Drosophila melanogaster: one gene and its partners. The protein of the gene in region 2 interacts with the protein of the main gene of each other region in a pairwise test. Each region holds a gene or a part of one and is shown on either strand. Other genes may lie near its edges. The genes, in order: trv, noc and CG13044.

The links.
Region 1: the proteins of noc (region 2) and trv interact in a two-hybrid assay, tested with the Drosophila melanogaster proteins (one large-scale study listed by BioGRID).
Region 3: the proteins of noc (region 2) and CG13044 interact in a two-hybrid assay, tested with the Drosophila melanogaster proteins (one large-scale study listed by BioGRID).

The regions. Positions count from the first base shown.
Region 1 is NT_033777.3:28,024,248-28,029,903, reverse strand, and holds the start of trv (trivet), read right to left. Parts: upstream 3,290-5,656; 5' UTR 3,034-3,289; intron 1-3,033.
Region 2 is NT_033779.5:14,488,847-14,495,085, reverse strand, and holds noc (no ocelli), read right to left. Parts: upstream 4,228-6,239; 5' UTR 3,841-4,227; coding exon 3,751-3,840; intron 3,449-3,750; coding exon 1,925-3,448; 3' UTR 1,067-1,924; downstream 1-1,066. UniProt on the Drosophila melanogaster protein: May negatively regulate Notch-induced cell proliferation in the eye-head primordium. Required for development of the supraesophageal ganglion and ocelli.
Region 3 is NT_037436.4:16,301,668-16,305,687, reverse strand, and holds CG13044 (uncharacterized protein), read left to right. Parts: upstream 1-2,509; 5' UTR 2,510-2,574; coding exon 2,575-2,586; exon of another isoform or gene 2,587-2,651; coding exon 2,652-3,107; 3' UTR 3,108-3,198; downstream 3,199-4,020. Other genes in the region: CG13043 (uncharacterized protein), read left to right, coding at 1-343; CG43249 (uncharacterized protein), read right to left, coding at 1,098-1,310, 1,368-1,388; CG4982 (uncharacterized protein), read right to left, coding at 3,800-4,020.

The DNA of each region.
Region 1 (5,656 bases), on a different chromosome or scaffold from region 2:
CGAACTGCGTGTGCGATGGAAAGTTTGCTTTTCATTGCAATACGCTTGAAATGGCAACTTGGACAAACAGGACGGGCAGGGGTAACAATAACACGGGAAAAACCGAAAAACTCGAAGGCAAATGCAAGAAAAATTGGCTGGGCCTGTGCCCTTTTTCCTTCTGGCCAGCTCTCATTCCGTTCCCTTTTCCTGGCCAATTTGCATGCCTCTGTCCATAGAGCATTGTTGACTCCGTTGGCTTCGCTTCTTGGAATGTTCCAAAACGCATTTTGGCCAGCAACGAGTCCTTGCCACAGACCAAACAATGGAATATTAGATGTGACAAAACAGGTGCACGTGTCCAGCCATAGTAGCAACTGCCTGTAGCCAAATTTCTGAGCTGGAAGCTTTGCATTCGCCTCAGCCAGTTGGCAATGGCCATGGTTAATTGTCAAACTGCATGCTGGAGGCCATAAATCCCCATTTTACAACATACGTACAGTATCAATCAGAAGTCGATGGGGGTACTTGACAGAGGACTTCTAAAATTGCAGGTCTGAAATGAATACGGGGGTTAATCCTGAGTCCTGGCAATCGGTCAACGATGTGAACAGTTAGTATTGATCTAGGAAGAAGTTCAATTTCGTAAACCATAGGACATAGTGAGTAAAAAATATGCATTTATGCATTTACATTTATTGAAAATAAACAATCAACATAATGGCTATAGCTCGGTTGTTGTTGTTTAGAAACAACAAACAGACTCCGAATCGAACCAGATTATGTCCCGAAATCCGCTCTTGAAACTGACAGGTTTTAACTTTCCATGTTGCGTAGAACGGAAACAAATATCTTAAAAACAAATTTCCATAATTCCATAAATACTTGGCCCGCATAATGAAAAATATTTGCACAACTCAAGATCAAAAGTTTGGTGGCAGAGCCGGAATAGTTTAGTTTCAGGGTTTAGACAAGCAAGACAGCAACTTTCTGATTTTTCTTGCCGGCGATTAAGTTGCTAGCATATGGAAAGTTTGCTTTTTGGCCAACAATTTCCAGCTGTAATCGTGTTCAATTTGTGTGCACAATATCTGGGAAGAAACGCGTGCATATGCAACTATTGTGGCTCTCGCAGCTTAATTACAAAAACCGAAAGGGGTTTAGTCCGAGCACATAATCACTGGCAAGGACACAGACCGACCGCCGAGGTCCTTTGAAAGTATGTTTTGTGGCCCTGTGCTGTCCGTGAGATGTACAAAGCTGGAAGTACAAAGAAACTTACAAAAAGAATTTGGTAGCATCAAAGCAAAAATTTTTAATGAATTTCTTGCCGGCCAACAGAGCCGTAAGCCTGCAAAACGCACCATACGCAAATGCAAAAGGCGCAAAAAGGACGTGGAACCCCAGTCCAAAGCCCCCAGCCCCGTATGTATCCCCTCGTTTCCTGGGAACGGGAATGCAGGGTCAAAGGTCCGGCCAGGACCGGCACCACTTCATCTTCCCTTTTGGCCGCTGGCCCCGGCAATCGTGTTGCTCGTCGGTGGCCTTAATTAAATTTAAATATTTTATCACCGAAAAATTGCCAGGCGGCAGCAACTGCGCAACAACAACGGCAACGGCGGCAGGAGCAGCAGGACATGAAAAGGGTGCAAATGTGTGAGTGGGTGGGTGGGTGTGTGTGCGCCTGAGTGCAGACAGCCGAAAAATACTGATGTGGGTGTATTTTTCATTATTTGCCCAGCGCTGCAATTTTTTTTTGTTTTGCGCCCCACATGCTCGCCCTTGCCATCGCCGCACTTCATATTCAATTGTGTTGAATAATTGCCATACGGTTTTTTGACCAACGGTTTTTGACACTTTCCTAAAAGGACACACGCGCCCTCAAGTGCTCCGCCCACAAACACACATTCACACACACGCACACACACACAAACTCAAGAGCCGCCCTCATGCCACATTTGAAGTTCGTTTTCCCTTTTTCTTCCCAGCGACCGAAAAGTGAGCAAAACACTCGACCAACAGGGGGGGAAAACTCAGAGGACCTCTGGACACACACACACAAACAGACCAACAACAGGCAGCAGAACAGCAACAACAATTATAAAAGGAACTGGGTACAAAAACAAAACATGCCAAAAGCGTTTTTTGAAATATCTTTGTAAATATTTAAAATGTTCTGTACATGCGGGTGCTTCAATCAAACCGAATCGCCAATGGCAGGGGACGCGAAGAAATGGCCAGGATGGGGGTCCTGGAAAAGGTCCTGGGACAGGGACCAAGGCTATTGTGCGCCGGGCACAGGCCGGGACAAGTTTTAAATAGTTTTTGTTGGCAAATGTCAAAATGCAATTTGATATTCATAAATTAATGAAGCGCCATTGCAACAAAAAACCTCTCCTGGATTATAAAGTTTTTACATAAATTATGTGGTTGGGCTTTTGAGGGAAGGGTTGTGATTTAAATCTGGCATTTAAATGTGTAATCCTCGGCTGATTATAAATGCATTAGAACGGAACGGAAAATTGGAAATTCTTTCCAAATTCCATTGAGCTACCATTTGAATTTTGAAATATTGTAGTAAGGGTTACGTTAAAGTAATTAAAATACACTTCAGTGAAGAGGGCTTGTTAGAATAATTCCTTTTTAATACATTTCAGTTCGAAATTTCTGGAAAATTACCAAGTATTCCCTTAATTAAAAAAATTAACAAAAAATTTAATGTAAATTTTTAGTTGATTTATATAAGTAATAGCACGACGACAGAAGTTTTCTATATATTTGTTCAATGCATTGAAGGAATTAAAAAAAGTTTATTTCTGGATTCTCGTGAAAAAGATCTCAAAAAGGAGTGTAGCATCTCAGAATCCCACAAGATATTTATCTGACTTAAGGATCTGTTTTCTTGTACACATGCGCACCCTTTGAACCGCTGTTGTCATTTGCGGCTACTAAAAAAAAATGTAAACAAGGTCAGAACACGTAGCACAATAAAGAGAGCGACTGCCTTCTACTCACACTCTCCCTCTCTTCCGCCAAAATGCAGTGCTCACTTACACTAGTGCAGGTCCTGGCAGGACACCGCCCGAATGGCCCACTTTTCGATGGCTTGTATCGAATTTTTATACTTCGGCACAACAAAACTCGCGACTCGGAGAGGCAGGAACACAAATCAGGATGAGTATGGGAAAAACGAGTAAGCGGACGCGCACGTGGTAGCCGTGAAAACCGGGAAGTCAGGAAGGATATCCTTTCCAAGACATTAACGATTAGTTCTGAGCGAAAAGCAGCGCCTCGTGTCGACGAATTGACACTGAAGAGCCCAGTCGCCAAAGTCGGCGTCCAGCAGTTTCAGTAGCTTTTGAAGTGGCAGCGCTGCACCACCACCGAAAAAAAGAAGAAGAAGGCGACCCATCACACACACACACACACACACACGTGTGCCACCAATACAGGGTACGTAAGGCGAGCCAACCCAAGCAGCGGAATAAAGGCGAACGGCTCTTCTCTGTGGTTGACATTATCGCATGCAACTAAATCACACGCACACACACACACAGCTGCAGGTGCACCCACCCCTCGTCCTTTTTGCACCGCCCTTCGTGCGCTCATTCGCTCGTGCAACGTGGCGTATGGGTAACAATGGAGAGTGGCTCACACACACAGTCACTAACACACGGCTATCTGCCTTAGCGCCATTTATGGCATTTGATATGCTAATTTGCACATATTCATAGAGAGAGCTAGATAGAAGGAGAGAGAGAGAGAGCCAAGGACATCCACCACCAGGACGCAAAGGTGCGAGTATGACCATCTGCTGAACGAGGCCGGCTCATCACCAACTCCATCGTCCTGCTGCCTTGCTCCTGGCCAAGTGCCTCACGAGTATCTCTGTTTTGATGGCTCTTCAGTGCGCCCGTGTTCTGAGTGGCAGCGGGTTAAGTTGCCTGATGAGCTGCACTTTGTCATACGGACACACTCTGGGAGTTCCTTAATTATTTACAGCTCAAGGCGAGAATATGATTTTGCACCAGCATACGAAATCGAGATACTTTTTCGAATAATATTAAGTGATTTTAAAAACATTTTTAATTATCAAATATTTTAAGTAATTGATTTGGTATTCGCGTGCATCTTTGAACTAAAACAAATACCTAATTAAAATCTCTAGCCATTAAAGGATTTTTGGCTTACCATCTACTAGTATTTTATGTTTCTTACCTATTAACAAGTTTATATTCTACTAAGTGTAGCGCACTTTCCGAATTCGTTGAAGTCCTTCGGCTGCATCCACCACCGAGGAGCAGCACCACGTTTTCGTGAGCTCTCTCAACTCTCCGCATGCTGCAAGGATTCTCACCAATACCAATGCACTCGCAGCCTGCATGTACGACACAGAGGCGGAGTCTGAACGCTGGTCATGTAAAAGTCACAAAGCCTTATGTATCCAAAGGGGAGGCGCCATCGAACAAGAGTATATAGTCGCTCCAGAGCTTTAGTATTTCACAGAAATGACAAAATGGCGGACGATTTACGCGTATAAAGGTTCGAAAAAGATCAGTTCCGGTGAAAACCCCCTGGTAAATCGACGCCTCTGCTCTTTGTTTACGAGTTGTTTTGCGGGCGAGAAGCAATACAACAACAGGCTGGCGGCGAAAATGCGATACAAGTCACGAAGAGCCGCTCACCGAGAGCGAAAGTTAGTGCTCCTTGTATCGCAATTTTCCTCGGTTCGCTCTCGGCTGCAGAACTGCGATACAAGCCAGCAACAACTGTGGTATGAGCACGTGGCATCCTGTTGAGCCTGACCAAAGGAATCAGCTGACAGGACTCGGTAGAGCACCTGACACCTGCTAGCCGGCATCGACGACATCCTGGCAGGCCGATGGTCAAACCGGCGTCCAGTTTGACACTTTCCGGACATTATCTTTCGCTGGTCAGAGGGGCACATGTGACACAATCCAACGATGGCATCGTTGGCCCAAAACTTTGTCATCCATCCCGGCAAGAAAGCCATGAATATTACTGCGACTTTATCGGTGGCAGACAGTCTCCTCCTTGCTTCTTTGGCAAATTATGCAAATTTCAGATTTCCCAAGTAAACATTTACTTTACTTTTCAGCGCAGACAGCGTGGCCCGGCGGCGCTTAAACCTCCGACTTGCAATCTCCATCGTTCCTTTCGGCCATTTGACATTTGTTAAGTTTTCTTATCGCGCGCTTTCATTAGCGACCGTCGTCTGGTTCGGCCAGAGACCTTCTAATTGTCTTGCAAATTAGTCCGCCAGTGACGAAAAAATGCGACCCCCAGAGATGCGGGAAATCCCAAACCAGAACCCGCCGTTTATTTACCCATCGAACGACCGGAATGAGGAGCATGTGGCATCTGCTTGAAGGAAATGAAAAGTAAACAAAGCTGCTGCCGTGCCACATTTGGCGGCATGTGAGCGGGCCAACCCCCGTAATTTTTGAATGGCGATTTCCGTTGAGCACGAGGACGTGCTTCTGTCGAGGATTAGCCTCCCAGACACGGCAGCTGGCGAGCACCGTCACCGTGTCCGGCGGAAACGCACAACAGACACGGCCCACTCCGGCGTATTTTTATAGACTTTTTCACTTAATCCCCGCACAGAACCATAACACAGACCTAACGCCAATCGATTAACTGCCAAGTGGAAGGC
Region 2 (6,239 bases):
AACAGACATTGAAAGAATCCGCTGGAAATTGAAACAATTGAAAAAACGTTGTCGTTGATCGCTTGACAGTTGAATGCGATAATTTCAAATCGAATCAATTGAATATTGTCACAATTAATTTATTTATGAGATACACTCGAAATATCACCATTGATTTTCATTGTTGCTGTGGCTGATTGTTGCTTAAGTTTGAGTTGTCTGGTTGGTTTCAGATTTTGATATTTCTGAAGCATATTTTTTGTGAATAATGTTAGTCATTTCGCTTTGTCAGCGATTTTTTTATATGTACATACATACGTACATATGCACACATATTCATTTATATATGCATTTGAGTTGCTCATTGAATGGCAATTGATTTTTGTTATACACATTGTTGGTACAAATGTGATTTTTATTGATTTTTAATTTTCAGCTTGGGTGTTTTATGACTGTTGCCGGCGACTGTTTTATTAAGGCTTGCCCAATCAAGTTATTTACCCCACCCCTCGTGAAATTGAAATTTGCTTTTGATTTGATTTTTTAGGCTGAATACGAATCGCTGCATACAAATTGAGTGCGCTTAAAATGCAACAAGCAATGCAAATTAATAGTACTAATTTGAATTTCAAATGTGTTAGGTGAGATGGGGAAACCCAGATTTCTTCGAGTGCATCCAGAAAAAATTGAGAGCACATTAAAATACCTTTTGTCTAAAATAAAACTAATTAAAATATTTTTAAAGAATAACCTATAAGATTTTATTTATTTATTTGCCTAGAACCTTACATTTAATATCAATGATACTTATAAGAAGCAGTTCAATTCTCAGAATTAAAAACTCCTTTAGTCCCATTTCTAAGTAAGAACTATAAAATTAAGAGAATTAGACCTTGTTATGGTTTCCGGAATTTGCCACTCAGCCTTATGTAAATATAATTGAAAACCTAGTGGAGCATTATCAGCAATATTTATGACCCATATGTGAGCTAGCCAAACAGCGCAGATAACCGAAGCGAAATTATGGCCCAACAAAAAGTTTTCCAGCTGTAAAAGAGTTTGTTTCAAAAGAAAAGATTCGTGGTTTATGCTTCTAAAAATTGTTTTTTCTTGTATATTTCTCAGTTTTATACGAATGTGTTGCATGTAGTTTAAGTTATTTTTGTTTGATATTCCGTGGCTTCTTGTGTAGATCGTATTGTGGTTTGCGTACATCAAGGAGTAAATAGCAAATCTAGTTTATATTTATAGAATTTACACACAGTACATAATTATATGAAATATTCATTTTTATTTTTCGTAATTATTATTATTTTTTTTTAATTTTTTATCTCTGATTGGTTGGTATTACAAATATTCATTACACTTACTTTAAATATAAGTTGACTTAAAGAACATTATTTCAATTGTTGGTTTGTTGTATGCTTGCAGATAATCGTAATAATAGTTAATAGAACTTAAAGCGAAGTTAAACTAAAACAATGTTTGAACATCTCAGCAATGGGTTCTTCATTAACAAAATTGGAAGTTGTAGAATGTGTTCTGGCTAAGACTTAAAAAACTTTGGTTGAACTTTGAGAACAAATAAGAGTGAGTGAACTTCGTGTTGGCTGCACTTCTTTTTACCTAACAATGTAGACATTTACGATGATAGAAGAGAGTGATCCTGCTATTTTTGCGGCTACTACTGTTCTTTAGGTGGTTGATTATTTTCTGTTTGCGAAACTTAAGTGTAACTAGCGCTCTTTAAACTACAGTTTAGTATCACAGAATAGCGCAAAAGCCAGAGATGTGTCAGCCTTTGCAATCGTTTTGTGCTTTTATCTTTTTTGTTTTCCATGAAAGTATCTCAAACAGGGTTTGGAAATGGTTTCATTCTATATCTCTGGTTGTCTCTTCAACGTAATCCCCTTTTTTTTGGTATTTAACTCTTGTGGAAGTCACTTTACTGATGAGCCGCTCCCATCCTCTGGCCGTACATGGCGTATGGCGAGTAGTAGGGTCCCAGAGCAGCTGCCGCAGCCGCCGCGGCAGGATTGAATGCTCCAGCGGCGCCGAAGGGCGAAGGTCCTCCAGCCAAGGCGCCTGGTGGTGGCTTGGCGTATGGATGATACCTCGCCGCTGCCGCAGCCGCTGACATGGGACTCAGTGGTGGTGTTGGATAGCCAGCTCGGAGAGCCGATGGCGGAAATAGGGTTCCCAGCAGGGATTGAGCCTGCGATTGGGCCAAGGCCGCCGCAGCAGCCGCCGGATCGGAGAGATTGCCCGTATGGGTGCGCAGGTGGGAGAAGAGCTCGTCGGAGGTCTGGAATCGCTTGCCGCAGTAGGCATCGCCCACCACCCAACTGCACACGTAGGGTGCCGAACGGGCTGCCGCCGCGTTTGCCGCAGCAGCGGCCGCTGCCTGCGAGTATGGATGAGCTGGTGGCAGTCCGGCGGCACTGGCCATGGCCAGGCCGTATTTCTGATGCTCGCACTGGGTGCATCCGGCGGGGCAGGGGGCACCCATGAGCATTTGTTGCGTGTGCGCCGAGTAGGGACATCCCTGGCAATACGGATCCTTGCAGACTGGCACTATAGCCTCGCCGCCAGCTGGTGTCTTGATGCGCTGATAACTTATGTACGGATTGGGCTGTCCGGCTGGTCCACCGCCGGGAGCTCCGCCTGGATATCCTCCATTGGCGGCAACTGCCAACATGGCGGCGTGATGGTGTGAGAATCCTCCGGCAAACGGTGGCCGGAAAGCGGGATTGGCGTGCTGCTCCATTCCGGGCGGGCAGCACAGGGCGGACAGGGGATTCAGCCCATAGGGTCCGGCGGCCTTGTAAGCCGCTGCTGCTGCTGCTGCCGCCGCAGCCATGCTGCTCATTTCCTTGGGATGCTGGGCGGTTCCGTTGGCATTGTTCAGCACCTCCATGCCGGAGCGCACAATGGGACTGGCGCCGCGTTGCGACGATCCCGACGGGGAGACAGTCTTTCGGCTGGATGAGGAATCGTGCGCGGAAATCTCCGCCTTGCCGCCATCTGTGGGCGTGGCATTTGATTTGCTGCGCGATGGCACACGCTCCTGGGCGGATGAGGAGTTCTTAGAGCTGGGACGCGTGGGTTCCGCATCCAGCGAAGAGCTGCTCTTGAAGGAGTTCTGGTTCTGGTGGCTCAGCACATTGGTCTCGTAGGGCTTGAAGGCCAGTTTGATTTCACCGGTGCTGGTATTACTCAGACTTGCGCTGGTTGCCGTCGAGCTGATTGGAGTGCTCGACTTGGGCGATTTGGCCTGGCCGGAGGGTGACTTGGCTGCCGAGATCTCAGCACTGCCCGAGGAACTCGACGAGTTCGACGACGAGGAGCATGCTCCGGGCTTTGTCTTGTTCTTGTCCATTGCCAGCAGGGGTTTCACTGCCGACGAATCCGCTCCAATTTGGGAGCAAGTCTGTGCGAGCAGAGCCAAGGGACTCTTTTTGGCGTCCATCTGTTATGAATAAAATGAAAATGTGGAGTTGGAATTAGGTTTTTTGTAATTTTAAAGTTTTTTACGAGTTTTAAGATAATATTGATTTTAATTTGGTGAGAAGTTAAAACTATGAGAAAATGCAATTTCTTCCAAAGAAAGTTTGTTCGTGAAAGTATTAATGACGATATAAATTTTTAGATTTGAAAAATTGTTTGATGTTATGAACTTTCCAAATTTAATTCTTAAGTACGCAAAATTTAAAACCATAGATTTTACGGCCATCCCAAAATTTTACAGCTTTTAACTTAGTCAATACTAACCGTCGTTGGCAATGGGGCCAGATAATCCGGTTGAAGGTACTGGTTGTTACCGATGGTAACAACGCCGCCGCCTCCTTCCAAGACAACCATATCAGTTGCTTAGTGTGTTTTCTCGAGGGTAATCCACGTGAGTTGCGAGACAAGGCTACAAATGCGTAGCTTTGCTTCGGCGACGATGAGGTTAATCCACAGAAATGCGTCGGCAAACGTTGGTAAATCCAAAGAAAATCGGCGATTTAACACACTTGTAGTTTTGAGCAGAGAATTTATCTCTGTAGCACTATTTCAATTTGCTGGCCAAGCGATTTGTGTTTTGGCTCTGATTTCACTTTTTCACTCGAAACGAAACACTCTCGATCAGTGACCACAGTTGACTGAGGTTTCTTATTTTTGTTGGTTATATCTCTTGTCACTCGAATGGTTTTCAGGTTTTTCCGAACACGTCTGAACGCTGCGAAGTCAAAATTCGAATTGAATTCAACGACTGCGGCAGCGAGCGTAACTGCCCTCGCAGCGAAGCGTTCGCTCACTCGCGAGAGAGCGCTCTCCGGCGAGCAGCGCTGCACACTTTGGCTTGCTGCCTGCGTTAGAGGAGCACCGCCTGCTGCATGCGAGCGAGATGCACTGTGCGTAATTTTCAAATATGGCGTACTTTTTGTCCAATCACAATCGCATGCGCCTTGCAATGGAAGCCAAGACAGGTTTTCTCTCTCTCGCTCTCCGATTTGGCTTCCTGTAAAATCATAATAATATGGCTGCACCACGGCAACACTCGTCCAGAGAGCAACAGTTGAGCGCTGAGAGCGCCGCTCAGTGAGTTGTTGTTGTTGTGGCTGCTTTGGGGGGCACATTAATTTTATCTTGGCACATATGTCACGCTCACTCTCCCTCTCTGTGTCTCTCTGGGGGAACTTTTTCTTGATGGGGCTGTCAGCAGCAGCAGCGCTGCAGTGGTGGCGGCAGCGGCGCGGCAGAGGCCTCATTGTCTTCGCACCGAGATTTGTTGCTCGGAAAAGCAAACCACTCAACACTTAAACACACTCTTCAACCATTTCCATCGCCTCGCTTCGCTCGTTTTAATGTCATATAAAAATTAATTTGTTTGTCGCTCTCCCGCTCTGGCACTTCACCTCTCTCCCTCTGACCCGCTCACTCGCACAGCTGTTGTTGTGGCCTTTGTTTAGCGTTTTTCGATTAACTTCTGCGGTTGGTTTTCCCTCTTTTTTTTCGTGGCTCCTGTTTTGCTGTTTAAGTGGAAATCGTTGTTTTGTTGTCGCGTCGAAAAGTTTTTCCAAGCAATTTTTCCTCCTTCCTTGGTGTGTGTGTAATTAATCTGCACATATCAAACAAGCGAATGTGTGTTGTGGCATGTTGCACTCAGAGAGTTGGTAATAGTTTAATGGTTTGGTTAACTCCGCTGCATTTTTAATCGCTCTACAATTGGATTGAATTTTCCAGTTAGCACTTGCCTAACTTACTTATTTACGTTTCGCACGAAATCGCGTTAATCACGTTGCTTGGTTTCAAGATAATTACTGAATACTAATAATGTTTAATTGCAAAACGAGGCTGATTTATATTAAATTATTAAGAGCTAATAATAGGCTAGCTCCTTCTAAACATAATTGATTACTATTATTTAAGTAGTTAGAAAATATTATGTGACTAATCATTTAGATTTTGTTGATCTAGATCATTCTAGCCACTTTACCTAACCGATATTAAAACTCCAACGTAATCCCAACCAAATCGGTTGGACTAACCATAAACTATGTATCAAGATGTTTAACTCAAGCCCCGAGGGGATTTTGGAATATCTGGCCCTTGGGATATGTTACCTAATCACCAAGCTGAGTTTTAAGAACCCTTCAAAGCCCCTGGCAAGTAAATTAAAATCTGTATAAATATGGACGATAAGCCGAAAACCCAGAAGCGACACTTTTAATCCCGATTTAGAGTGTTTAGACATTTTTCTGTGGGAATCCCTAAGCCGAAACCCGGCAGCGAAATACCTTCGAGGCTAAAACAGGTAGAGGAAACACTCTCGGCCTTCGGCGAAATGATGGATTTATTAGTTAAGAGCGTGCTGCGATACTTTACGATACGGCTTAGACATAATTTGCGGTTTTGCGTGCAACAAAGCGAAAAAAGTGTTGCCAAAATAATGTATATACGTGTATATATGCATGTATACTGCTGCAGAGTTGGAGAGTTTACGCACACGTTCCATAGCATTTTCTCTTATTATTTGTTATTTTTTATGGCCACTTTGTCAGCGTCATAAATTCGCTGCTCCTGTATGTGAATTATTTACTAGCAAATTGCGGGAGTGGGCTGAAGGTAAATTCAAACCAGTGGCCGGGGGTGTCATATAAATAATACAAAAATATTATAAATTACACGAAGCCGAAGAAATTGCCAAGCGGAAGTGCGGAACACCTTGATACCGTGACTAAAGCGATTTGCTTTCAGACTAATGCTCACCCTGC
Region 3 (4,020 bases), on a different chromosome or scaffold from region 2:
GACCATCGTCCAGGAGCCCGTTCTGGCCAAGGTGGGAGCCGTGGTCAAGAGCGTACCCACTGCCGTCAGCCACCAGAGCCAGTCGGTGGTGCACAGTCACGCTCATGTTGTCGAGGATGTCGTTGCTCCCGTGGTGAAGTCCACTCCGGTGGTCAGCTATGCTGCTGCCGCTCCAGTGGTTCACACCTCCTATGCCGCTGCTCCCGTTGTCCACACCAGTTACGCTGCTCCTGCTCCCGTTGTTCACACATCCTACGCCGCCGCCGCTCCCGTTCTGGCCACATCCTACGCCCAAGTGGCCGCCTCCTCGCCGCTGACCTACACCGCCACTGGTGTGTGGTAAATCCATGGCCAGGCCCACTCCGAATCCTACTCCTCTCACTGTTGACAGGTGACCAGGATGCATGTGCATCGCTGGACGGTTTTGTGATACGAATTTTAAATAAATAAATGTTTTGCTTTGAAATCGTGCAAGTTGTTTTCTTCACCCTGCGGGTCATTTATCTTCCTGTAGTTCCTAAAGAGTCTAAACAGATGATAGTAACAAATAGCTTTTATCACTAATATATAGATGAAATATATATACTAATACAAAGGTACTAGAACTGAAAAAGTAAATTAACTGTGGAACTCATTGTTCTTGGTAAATATATAATGAAATTCGGGGCTGATTTACTTTGTCTTGAAATTCAAAATGTTAGGCGAAATGTTGACATTTTGACGTGAATTTAGACTTTTTTTTTAAACATTTTCCGGCGCGTGTGGACTTGGTCTTAGCTCGCTTGGTGTACTAAAAGTGTCCTGGTTCAATGCCCTGTGTCACGTATCTACTTACATCCTGCTGCACCTGTGCCGTGGGTAAATATTGGACACCCATATGTCGGAAAAACGCCACATATGTGGGTGAAAATTAGCTGGGTGACAGCGTGGGCATCCCGCTGGTTGGGAATTGCTGACATTTTCGGGCAGTGAACTCAACGAACCATTAGCCCTCTTCAAGGGCATTTCTAAAAGTCATTGTACCTCTGATTTAAACGTTTTTAATAATACAGGCTAAAAACATTTTAAATCACTTTTTTTACAATTAAAACAATACATTAGTTAAAATGTTTGGTGCGGAAGTGTGTAATCATGGGTATCTCCATCTTTAACTTGGCAGCAAAATCAGCAAGGGGCTGGAAAAACATGGTTAGTGCTCCACTCAATCCGCGATCCACCTCTGTCACGTTCACCTCCCTTCTGACTATCTCGTGGCGGCCATTAACATATCCATTGGTGCAGTGGATGCTCAGAAGGATTAGAACAAATATCTAGAAAGAAATCCATTTAACAGAGTATTTTTATGAATATTTTCTATATTTTCTTACCGCTTTCAACAGGTAATCCATTTGTAGTGTTATCAACGGCGGGTTAAATGCAATCACTGGTGCATTATTAAAATTCTACGCATTTATATACCAAATTCTGTTCAATTCTTCAATACGAGTGTTCTGGATGTTCTGGACAGGTGCAGTCACAATTTTACGGAATAGAAAAATAAACACAGACAGTTTACTTGGAGGAAAGCAACACTTCAGTGGTCGGATTAGGTTTAAAAATGGTCAACAAAACTGTACATATATATCTAAATCCATTTTCTTCCTACAAAAAAGTTTACAAGCAGTACATATATGGCGGGATTTGGCGAAACGTGCCGGGATCTCTAGCGGGATTTCTGGCGGGGCCTTTCGGGCTCCCGCGGGATTTCGGGATAAAAGGTAGAAAGTTGAGATTAAGTATGCAGATTCCAGAGACATATACATTTGTTGACCCACGTTGTAAAAAGACGCCACACCCACAGTTTTGAAAAAACTGTTAAAATTTTCATTTAATAATCAAAGAGGTTGTTGAACTTTCTCGTTCGCATTCCCACTAGCTGATAAGCGGGTATCTAATAGTCGAGTAAATATACTATAGCGTTCTTTCTGTAGCTTTTACTCACTACTGTTTTGAATGACCATTTTAATCAAGCAAAAATCATTGCGAATTCTTGGAATTTAAGTAAATGCGAGTAAGCCAAGCGAAAGTGTTTTCCTGTCATTATAAACTTGGCCTTGAATTGGGTCGGAAGCGATTACGATTGGTTTCCAATTAGAAGTAATCTCGGACCCTTGGTTCTCCCTCCGCACCAGAAATCGATCTTCAGGTGAGTACGTGCGACTAATGAGCTCCGAGTTGTGAAATGAAATCAAGAGTGGGTATGGCAAACAAGTGCGAGGCCGAAAATAAGTGAAGTAATGAGTAGTGGGAAAGGGGCAAACTCGGTTGAGGAGGCGAGCGAGCCGAACAGAAATTGGCCACGAATAATAATCTGGTTTATGGCCAAGACCCGAGACAAGCGGCCAGAATCCGTTCAGGCACGTTCGACTTATGGCTTATTGTATCCGCCTCAATTGACAAAAGCCGGCGAAGTGCGTGTGTGTGTAAAATGTGAAGTTCAAGTATAAAAGACGTTGACAGTCCCTCAGCTCAACACATTCGAAGTCTGTCTCCCTATCCAGCGACACCAGTCGAAGAAGCCAACACCACACCAATATGTTCAAATTGGTAAGGATCGCAGGGATATCCATATGGCACCACTTTGGAATACTAACTCTTATTCTCGTCTCCAGTTCGTTCTCGCTGCTCTTTTGGCCGTGGCCGCCGCCAAGCCCGGTCACCTGGCTGCTGCTCCTCTGGTCTACAGCGCTCCCGCCACCACCACCGTCGTCCAGGAGCCCGTTCTGGCCAAAGTGGGTGCTGTTGTGAAGAGCGTGCCCACCGCCGTGTCCCACCAGAGCCTGACCCAGGTGCACAGCACCCCCGTGGTGGAGGATGTGGTGGCTCCCGTGGTCAAGACCACCGCTGTCCACTCCGCTCCCGTGTTGGCCGCCGCACCCATTGTGAAGACTTTGGCTCCCGTCGCCTACTCTGCTCCTCTGGCCTACTCCGCCCCGGTGGCCTACTCCTCGTATGCCGCTCCTCTGACCTATTCCGCACCGGTGGCCTACTCGGCTCCCCTCTCCTACGCCGCCCCAGCTCCCCTGCTGCACCACGCCCCTCTGACCTACGCCGCTGGCTCCTGGTAATGTGGTGAGGATCGAAAGAGTTTGAACTGTGCCTTTCTAGTTGAAAAAAAATAAGGAAATCGAAAAAAGAATAAATTAAATTGTGAATACCAAACAGATGATGTGAATTTCTTAATGATGTGGGGATATATAAATTAATTCTGAAGTTTACAAAGAAGCGTTCTAAAAAGTGTTCCTACATTTCTGAATGTTTTAAAAACAGAATTAAATTCATTTGAAGTACAAAACTTATTTAACAATGGTATCGATGCACAATAACTAAATACTTCAATAACATTTTGAATAAACCAAAGCTTGAATTTTATTTGTATTTATTTATTTGTTGTCCCAGCAAATAAACAAAAATTTTTTTAATTGAATATTAAATTCAGGTTGTCTTTAAAATCAACAAAATTTAGACTTACTGAAATGTGATTTAAGAGACGCAGTTGCACCCAGCCATATTGGTTTGGTATGTTTTTTGATTATGTACGTTTCCAGAACAAGAACTAATGTTTTCCAATATTACTATATATATTCCAGAGGCTAGTTCACTAAAGCTATCATAGGTACTATGATATTACCTTTACGTCGAACGTTTTTATTTATTGCATATTTGATGTACATTTAAGTTTGCAATACAGAAGAGGTAATATGTTACACATAACCAAAAATGAGATTTTCTGTGGAGAAGGGTTTCTTTGTTCGTTGTTCTACTTCAGATAAATGCTGGGGTAACTGGATACTCCCCAGATTCCCGGCTCGTACCATCCCGCACTGTTGCCCGCGTATCCAAGTGGGGCATACGAGATCGAAGTAGCTGGAGCATAGGCTGCCTTCAGGATGGGCGTGTGATCCACAATGGGGCGCCAGTAGGGACGCTTCTCGTGCACCACTGTGGAACTCTGGTGTGAGACGGCGGCTGGAAGGGCAT